Oryzias latipes: one gene and its partner. The protein of the gene in region 1 purifies or fractionates together with the protein of each later gene. This does not show direct contact. Links are inferred from orthologs where the notes say so. Each region holds a gene or a part of one and is shown in the gene's direction. Other genes may lie near its edges.

What was found.
Region 2: the proteins of ghitm (region 1) and pomk purify together in Homo sapiens (affinity purification with mass spectrometry; 3 studies listed by BioGRID and IntAct, counting the BioPlex papers as one, with this or other methods). This does not show direct contact. The link is inferred for Oryzias latipes from reciprocal best matches to the Homo sapiens genes GHITM and POMK.

The regions. Positions count from the first base shown.
Region 1 is NC_019877.2:11,294,725-11,299,236, forward strand, and holds the start of ghitm (growth hormone-inducible transmembrane protein), read left to right. Parts: upstream 1-1,543; 5' UTR 1,544-1,674; intron 1,675-1,997; 5' UTR 1,998-2,031; coding exon 2,032-2,163; intron 2,164-2,549; coding exon 2,550-2,652; intron 2,653-2,773; coding exon 2,774-2,885; intron 2,886-2,981; coding exon 2,982-3,123; intron 3,124-3,210; coding exon 3,211-3,319; intron 3,320-3,687; coding exon 3,688-3,876; intron 3,877-4,512. UniProt on the Homo sapiens protein: Plays an important role in maintenance of mitochondrial morphology and in mediating either calcium or potassium/proton antiport. Mediates proton-dependent calcium efflux from mitochondrion.
Region 2 is NC_019870.2:26,977,158-26,981,583, reverse strand, and holds the start of pomk (protein O-mannose kinase), read left to right. Parts: upstream 1-1,323; 5' UTR 1,324-3,170; coding exon of another isoform or gene 3,171-3,176; 5' UTR 3,177-3,527; coding exon 3,528-3,683; exon of another isoform or gene 3,684-3,813; coding exon 3,814-4,095; intron 4,096-4,426. Other genes in the region: pam (peptidyl-glycine alpha-amidating monooxygenase), read right to left, coding at 562-572, 787-917. UniProt on the Homo sapiens protein: Protein O-mannose kinase that specifically mediates phosphorylation at the 6-position of an O-mannose of the trisaccharide (N-acetylgalactosamine (GalNAc)-beta-1,3-N-acetylglucosamine (GlcNAc)-beta-1,4-mannose) to generate phosphorylated O-mannosyl trisaccharide (N-acetylgalactosamine-beta-1,3-N-acetylglucosamine-beta-1,4-(phosphate-6-)mannose).

The DNA.
Region 1 (4,512 bases):
GCATGGCATGCACAACTGAAAACGCAACCCTCATACCAAGTCACTTTAGTCCATAAGTACAGAGTAAAAATGTAACATAAAATATAACTCAAAATGCAAATGGGAAATTAATTACATAACTTTTTTTACACTAAAAGTTTTTCACTTGATTTACTAGTGTAATTAGTTTTAAAACTACCTAAGATAACCTTCTTTTAACAACTACTGGTAATTGTAAAGACATTTTGACTTCTAGTATAGACACATAGACATTTAAAGATCTCTTTTTAAGGCTACACAAAAAAAATGTTAAAAAAGACAAGACAAGGTTTACATGTAGAGAAACAGCTTCCGTCTCCCAGGGGTCAACGCGCAAAACAGAGGAATGTAGCGTTCAGATACCAAATGTACTATAGAACATTACAATACGTCAACAGAGTGGGTTTTTTTATCCTAACAAAAACATGCACGTCAATGCCAAAACGAAATAAATGCAGAGAAATGTAAACTTTTAAACCAGATGATTAGTTATCTGAAGGGGTTCAAATTAAACCACCATGCTGGCATGTTTTTATGTATTACCTATAATAACAGTTACACGTGTACTATTCCAACAACTTTCATTTATATAAATTTACGCATCAACCACGTGTCAATCAATGTTGGTCTAATGCTATAGCGCTCAATGATAAACTGTGCACGTTGAACATCTTTGTTTCTATTTATTACCAACCATTATGATGAGCTGCAGGTCTGTACTCCGAGTCGCGCTTCACTTGTTCAGCCTCTTCTCACAGTACAACTCCAGAAAGAGACGACTTCCATTACTTCTCCGTTTACTCACTTGCGCGTGACGAAAAAAAAAAGAAAAACGAACGGATACAGCACAAGTCGCAAGACAAGTTTTAATAAATGATACATGTGGGACAAGTAGAAGCATATTGAGTTAGCTGCAGATTAGGACGGCGGCCAAATGAATGACAAGTCTTTTCAACAGCTCAGTGACTCTCACGAGAAACTTTGGTGCAGAGGAGCGGAGCCTGAAGCGGGAGGTACGATGACAGAGTCCAGAGACTGACAGAGTCTGCTGATGTAATATGCATTTTAGATCATTTAACATACTGTACATAACACGACAGTAAATCCAAGTTTGGTTCTAGATCTTAAAACCAAGGAAAGTGTTGATTTTAACCTCGATTTTAGATTTCAGGGGACTTTGATACAACTTTTGAAAAGAGGACTAGTACTCCACCTAGTGGACAAAGGCATCACGTGCACATGAGAATAAATATGACGGAACACAACAATAATAGATTATTTTAAGATAATAAAAAAGTGTCTTTTTCTTTAAAACAAAAAAATATCTTTACAATAGTATCATCAAAAAGCGTATTTTGTATTAATATCGTAATCATTTTTCTTCTACATGAAATAATTCAAAATCCAGTATTATTTTTATTATTTGTTTCTACCTTCAAAAATATTTAAATAATAAGATAACTAAAACTTTATGTGTGGCTTTTTGAATTGATTACAAAAGAGAAATAAATTCTGAACTACATTTCCCACCAAACACGTCGCATGCAGATGACGTAACAATCGAGAATTTTCACGAAGGGTAAGGTTGCTTGCAAAACAGTTGCGTCAGAAACTTGCGCATTTCGGACTAGGAAGGTGAAGGAAAAGGGTTTCGTTGTAAGTGCTGTTTATACACCTGGTAAACTTTGCTATGTTTGTTTTACTAATGACAGTTTCGTGTTAATTCAGTTACTATGTATGAGTAATGGCTCTAAGTAATGGCTCTCTAAGTCGTTGGTAGACGTTGCTAATTCCTTGACGCACTTACGTCGTTGCCTTTCTGTACCTGAAAACTAGTTATAGTTATTCATCATGCTTTTATTTTATTTTATGAGGGAAATCATGTTTGATATGTTAATTTTTTCACCCGAATGTTGTTTATTGTGGGCTAAGTGGAGCCACTGTTTGCGTTTGAAATCAAAATTTCGCTTGTCTTTCAGACCAAGCTAGCTTAAATTCAAAAAAGAGACAAACATGTTGGTGGCTAGGCTGACTTGCTTAAAGAGTCTCCCGCTCGTCGGGCTCCGTCCTGTGCTGACCCAAAGCTCTTCATCCTTGAGGGCACCCACATGGAAGGCCTGCCCGCCCCTTCTCATGCCGCAGCAGGTACGGAAAAGCCTTGAAGGAGGCGAATATGTTTGCTAATATCATAGTCTTTTGTTTTGTTTAATTTTCTGTGATACATAAATCAGTTTAAAAACGGGGAATTTGTTTATTCAAACTTTTATTTAGACCATTATTATGTTCCACATGAATAGTCAATATCAAAGGGTAGTACATAAAACAGAAATAAAGCAAACAAAAAAGAAAACACGTAACAATTCTGAAGTAATCAAGATACAAGTTAAAACTGAGATGTCTGTAATGTAAAAGCAAATTGCTAAAGAATTTCATATCAGAAAATATGCTTTATTATTATTATGGTTTTTTTTTGTTTTTTACAATTTATTAAATTGAATTTAGTCATGTTATTGTTTCATTTATTTTCACAGGGTTTTTCCTCACGGGCTAGGTTTGGGTTCCGCCGTGTGAAAACTGCAAAGGATCAAATTAAAGAAGCAGCTTTTGAGCCAGCAACAGATACAGCCATCAAAAGTAAACATGTTTTTGTTGTTATTCCAGTCAGGAATGATTAAAAATAACATTTTGGTGTTGAATAATAATTCACTGATTGTGTATATTTCTTTTTTATTTTATTATTATTTTTTTTTTCAAGTTGACAGCATGGGAAGGATCATTCTTGCAGGAGGTGCAGCAGTAGGTCTTGGAGCTCTGTGCTATTATGGACTGGGCATGTCCAATGAAATTGGTGCCCTTGAGAAATCTATGTTAGTATATTTTTCCTTGTTACCTTTACAGTTTTGTACTCACTAGCTAACTATGGTAGAAAAAACCATCTAAATGGACATTTTATCTTTGTGTAGGATCTGGCCTCAGTACGTGAAGGACAGAATCCACTCCACCTACATGTACTTTGCAGGCAGCGTTGGACTAACGGCTCTGTCAGCAGTTGCTGTGAGCAGGACACCAGCACTAATGGGTCTAATGATGAAAGGATCATGGCTTGTAAGTTTTGCTACTTGAAAACAATGCATTTTCTTTTAAATAAAAAGTATTTTAAGTGATTTTGATTATTCCTTTATCTTTTACCAGGCAATTGGAGCAACTTTTGCTGCAATGATTGGTGCGGGAATGTTGGTTAGGTCCATTTCATATGAGCACAGCCCAATGCCCAAACATCTTGCTTGGATGCTCCATGCAGGTGAGGATAGAATTCCATTTTTCCCACTCAGCCCCTTTCCCACTTCACTCTTGAAACCATTTGAAGCCAAAGGACTGAGCAGAACACTTAAAACAAAAAAAGAACCTTTCAGTGCTCCGTGACATTTCTGTTCATTTCATCATCCTGAAGTTAGAAAGAAATATAGTTTATTGCTGCACAACTTTTACCATGTCACATTGTTTAATGTCTTACAGTAAAAGGTTAATGTAGTTAGTTGTATTTGTGCTATGTGTCAAATATGTACCGGTAATATCAAATCAGTCATGTAGTTCCACAGCAGAAACACCAGAGGGCGCTCAAACACGGACTTTAGATATTGGATTGACGTGTGGTGTGTTCATCCTCAGGTGTGATGGGCGCTGTCATTGCTCCACTGACCCTCCTTGGAGGGCCTCTGATGATGAGGGCTGCCTGGTATACAGCTGGTATTGTGGGAGGACTGTCTACTGTGGCCATGTGTGCCCCCAGTGAGAAGTTCCTCAACATGGGAGGGCCGCTGGCTGTTGGCTTTGGGGTGGTGTTTGCCTCATCTCTGGGTTAGTATTGGTCATTTTCAAGTATCTGTCAAAGAAGTGAGATTATAACAGGAATGGTTACAGCACTTGTGTTGCTTTAACTGGTCTCTTGGGTTTTTTCAGTGTGGTGTTGGCTGTTACACCCTAATGTGTGTATTCTATTTAAAGACTCATGCAGAGTGTGAGAAATGTGCACTCTACCTGTCTCATACACTGGGTCTGCAATAATGTTTTTTTAGAAAACCGTAAAGGAATCTTAGTAAAATCTAACAAAAGCCCAATCTTACACGAGTTTTGGAAAATTCTGTCAGAACTTATGCAAATTTGTGTTTATAGTTGTCTGAGGATCAAAAATATAAGTGTGAAATCGCATCCATTTTAATCAATAGGCTATATGCATTTTCATTGAATTTTTAAGACCATTGAGCATTACTCAAAAAAGCTTTACAGTGTTTCTGTACTTGGTTTCTATGTTTCTCAAAGACTTTCCTCTTTTTTGACAAATGAACTGAGTATAAATTGAGTCTGTGACATTTGAGTTTCACTAGAAGCCATTCAGAAAAATCATTGCAATCTTTTGTACTTTAATGTGACTTAAAACCCTTTTTCATGTCTCTGGAACTCTATTTAAAAATGTTGAGTAGTATGTCTGGTTCT
Region 2 (4,426 bases), on another chromosome or scaffold:
TCTTTTTTGGTGTCAGAATGGTCTTAGGTGGTCTTTTTATTCCAGAGACTGTTTCATTGTTGAAGAACTTGAATGAGAAGAAACTGTAGAAGCTCAGAGGTTCTGCCTGCAGCGAAACCTGATCTCTGGAGAGTCCAAACGCTCTTCTCCTGTGTTTTGGATATACTTCTCCTGCAGCAGGGCCACATCTGCAGCAGACAGTAGGTTTACATCTGCAGCAGGTCCACATCTGCAGCAGACAGTAGGTTTACATCTGCAGCAGCAGGGAGTTCAACTTCGTTTATGACCGGAAGTCGTCCGCAGCCACAGACCTTCCGATCCCCGGGGACCCGAAAGGCTGACAGCGAGGCTCAGTGAGGATCGATGGGGACCGAAGGCAGAGCGGTTCTCACGATCCGCTTCTCGGTGACTCATCGCTGTGGGGGGTGGGAGTGGGAGGGGGGACCGAGCCGGAGCCGAACCAACCACCACACCACAGAACACACAACAAACCGGACCGGAACAAATACGATCAGCAGGGATAACCCGGGAAAAGAAAGCGGTACCCGCGCTGCAACACACCTGAGCCGTACCTGAGGAGGAAGAGGAGGAGAGGATCAGGATGCGGAGCTGTTGTGTGACGTAGCTCCCCAAGGTTAGCTAGCGTTTAGCTCCTCGGTTTGTCGTTTCCGCGATTTCTTGACAGATAATTAAACAGAACCGTGCAACCGGAAACGAACAAGAGCTCGCGCCTCTTTGTAAACCAGTTCGAGGACCAACGTCCCACAGGCACGTTCAAACTGATACCTGTCTGCGCACACGTCCACTCTGCCTGTGACGTCGGTCTGTTGAAAACAGCAGTGACGCCAGCACTTCCTGTTTTCAGAATAAAAGCAGCTTCCGCTGCGGCAGCTAGTGCTAGCTAGCATCGTTAGCATTTCACAGTTACAATGGTTCGATTATCTGTAATAAATAAAAAAAATACAATACACTCAGTCGGATCGGAACCCACTCACATGCAAAACGTCTGAAACTTTCTGTGGAAATTTAGTTAACTGACAGTTTTCATCTTATTTGCTGTTTGTTGACAGTTTTCCTCTTATTTTCTGCTTTTTTTTGTAACCAGAAAAACAACCTAAAAATGTAGTCTTTAGTAAGCATGACCGATTTCAATGTTTAAATCCAAATTTAATTTAAAGCACGAGTTCTGAATAATTGGATTGGATAAAGGACTCTAATCTGGAATGATTCATGACAACTGTTTTGAAAATGTATATGATCCAGGAAAATGTTAAAATTTTGTATTTTCATATATCTTTGTTTCATTGTAGACCATGACATTTTCAGACATTTTAAATGAGTAAAGTAAATAAATAAATCAGCCTATGTCCACAATGCACCTCTTTATCTATAAATTGGGAATGTGAAGTTTAATTCTCATAAATGTTACAGTGTGATTTGTCAAAAATCAAAATTCACACTGAAATGAACTGTTACTATGTTTTGGGGAATGTTTCGTTACTCGTTTCTTTCACCGAAAAACAAAAAAAAAGTAGCAATAGTGTTAAAATAAAGAATAGATGGATTTGAAAACTGACTTCAAAGAGGTCCCAGTTCTGCAAGAGAAATGTCCTCTTCGCTTAAGCCCCTAACCCTGAATTTTTTTCCAGATGTTTTACCACATGTTTATGCTTTCAAGTAGATGCTAAACTAAGGTAATTTTGGAGCAGAAATATGCATCAATAGGTGTCAAGGGGGTTAAGAACATAGCGACTCAAAAGGGAAAAAACAATAAAGAGACTTGTGTTTATTTGGCAGCAACACAGAAAATCAAATCTACAGGCAAAAGAGAAGGTTTTGTAAAATATCTACACATGTGAAAGGGATATAAAAATGTATACTTTTTTCACATTGTCATCTGGGTTTTTCTGGTTGAGTCATTGCTTCATCACCAAAGGTTCCCTCTAAACCAATCAGCTCACAGCAGCGTAAGTCACCTGCTTCCTCTTTATCTAGCAATGTTGGTGTGCGAGGAAGCTGATAACCAAATCGCTGACCTCGCATGACCATTTTAACTCTCCCAACTCCTCTGAGATGAGAAGTCAGAAATGTGGTTGAGAAACCTCACATGACATGCAGTCTTTACACAACAGCTGAATAAACCACATCTGCTCTGGAGGTGAAACGTGTTTTATAGAGGAGACGTCCTCACAACTGCAGCCGTTGTCCAGGAAACGCAGAGATGAACTGAAGGATCGCAGCTTCATCACAATGTTTCAGCAAAGAGCAGGAAAAAACAAATTCTTCATGTTCTTAGTCAAATCAAACCGTCTCTGTATCACAAGAGAGCAAACGAGGAGAACACCATCTGTGGAGCTTTTTGAGCTCCTGCATGAACAACAGTCACAGTCCATCTGAGGAAACGCCGAAGCTCTTCATCATATTTGATGGTTTCTCCACTCGTGTTTTATGTTGTTTCTACCGGAACAAACCGTGGAGTGGCCGTTTTTGTGGACATACACAAATGTTTCCTTAATACCAAACCATCTTTTTTCATTTGTTACCATCATGGAAAAGAAAACTGCTATAAATTTCATGTGTCATTTACAGTTTATGGATAATCCCTAATTTGTAACTGCTTCTTGTCATGTCTATAGGTTATATCCCCTTTTTATCTTATATTATGCATTTACTTGGCCTACTGTGAATTCTCTTATTGACCCTTTAGCATTGCTATGTTTTCTGTTCCGTCTGTTCCGACTCTCATTTGTTGATTTTACACCTTTGCCACAACTGTTGTAAACGTTATCATTTCTCGTGGACACTGAGGTTCTTTGATGTCCCAGAGGTTCCTGATGTTCTGCCTTCAGACTAAAAGCAGGGCACAGGCTGCCCCTGGTCCGGGTGGTGCAGGTGGATGAAGCCAATGAGTTATATCGCTCATTGGATGAAGCCTTTCTTCTACCACCAGCCCAGCAGGGGGCGCTGCAGCCTCGAAGAAACCCGCGCGCGTCCAGCGCCATAGCAGAAAAGAAGCTGCTCGTGAGCGCGCGCGCCGAGGGGGGCAGATATGCCAGAAACACGCGCGTACGTGGAGCTTTCCGGATCATGAGAGACCCAGGAGAAAAACTCACGTTGGATCGGGAGTGCGAGCACACTGAAGAGGAGAAGAGCGGGAGGAGACTGTTGACATGGCGGTGAGTGACGTCACTGCGTTACCTGGCGACGGCGTATTTATGTCCGTCGATGTTGTGCGGTGAAAGCGCGTGTCGTTCCGCGGAGCCGCAGGGAGCCATCCATCCATCCATCCATCCACCCCTCTGTCATCTGCGCAGACGCAGACTCGCTGCCGACCGCCACTGCGGTAGAATGATGCAGTCTGCTTCTGCAGGTCACATCTGGTCCTGGATCAGCTGCACGGTCCGCTTCACCCGCAGAACAGCTCTCAATGGTTCTGATAGAAACCCTCAGCATTCTTGTGGGTGTTTGAGTCAGCAGGTTGAGGCTGGTTCTGGTGGTTCTGATGTGTTCGTGTTGGACCACTACGAATGCCGGACCTAATCTTTCTGTCTGCTGACTGCTGTTGTTCCTCTAAAGCAGTGACCTCTTCTGCTGGGAGCTGCAGCCCCGAGGGGGCGGAGCTTCCACGTGTTGCCATCACATCTGCAGAGAGACATCACGTGCACGTGTTCACAAGAACCTCAGTAAGAGAGCAGAGTCTGCTGAGCAGTAATCCCTTCCAAGAGTAGAGTAATAGATGACAGCAGCCAATCATTGGTCAGAATTAAGCCTCCGTTCTCTGGTTTCCACTTACTTTTGTTTTTGTGTCTGCAGAGGATGCCGGGCCGTCTGTCGGGCCAGCGCAGCAGAACCTCCCTTAGTCTGGCTGGACTCATGACCTGCCTTGCTGCCTTGCTCGTCAGCACTGGGGTGATTTACCTGTATGTGGACTCCCTGCAGGGCGCGGCCGAGCAGGCCGGTTACCCTCAGACCGCCTGCAGACCAGGACACTTTAAAATCTCCAGCATGAAGAGCTGCGCAGCCTGGCTGCAGTGTGCCCAGGTGCGTGCAGACGTCCGGCAGCTGAAGCTGATCGGCCAAGGAGCCGTGAAGAAGGTGAGATCACAGGTGAAACATCTGTAACGACTCAGAAACATCAGGTTTTTTTGTCCTTTCTGCAAAACAAAAGGAAATAAACATTTTTACAGATGACCCCTGACTGTATGTGAGATCTGGACTGAGTGGCCCTTCCTCCTGGCATTCCAAACAGGAAGTACCTGCGGGTTCCAAGAAGCCAAAATCCCACAGACTTCTATAGAGGAGTAAACATCTGTTAATCTGTCATTCTATTGGTCAGAAGAACCGTCCTGGATCTGATAAACTGACCAGCTAAATAATACATTGACCAATCAGATCACTCACTAAAAGTAGGCCGTCTCATCTTCAT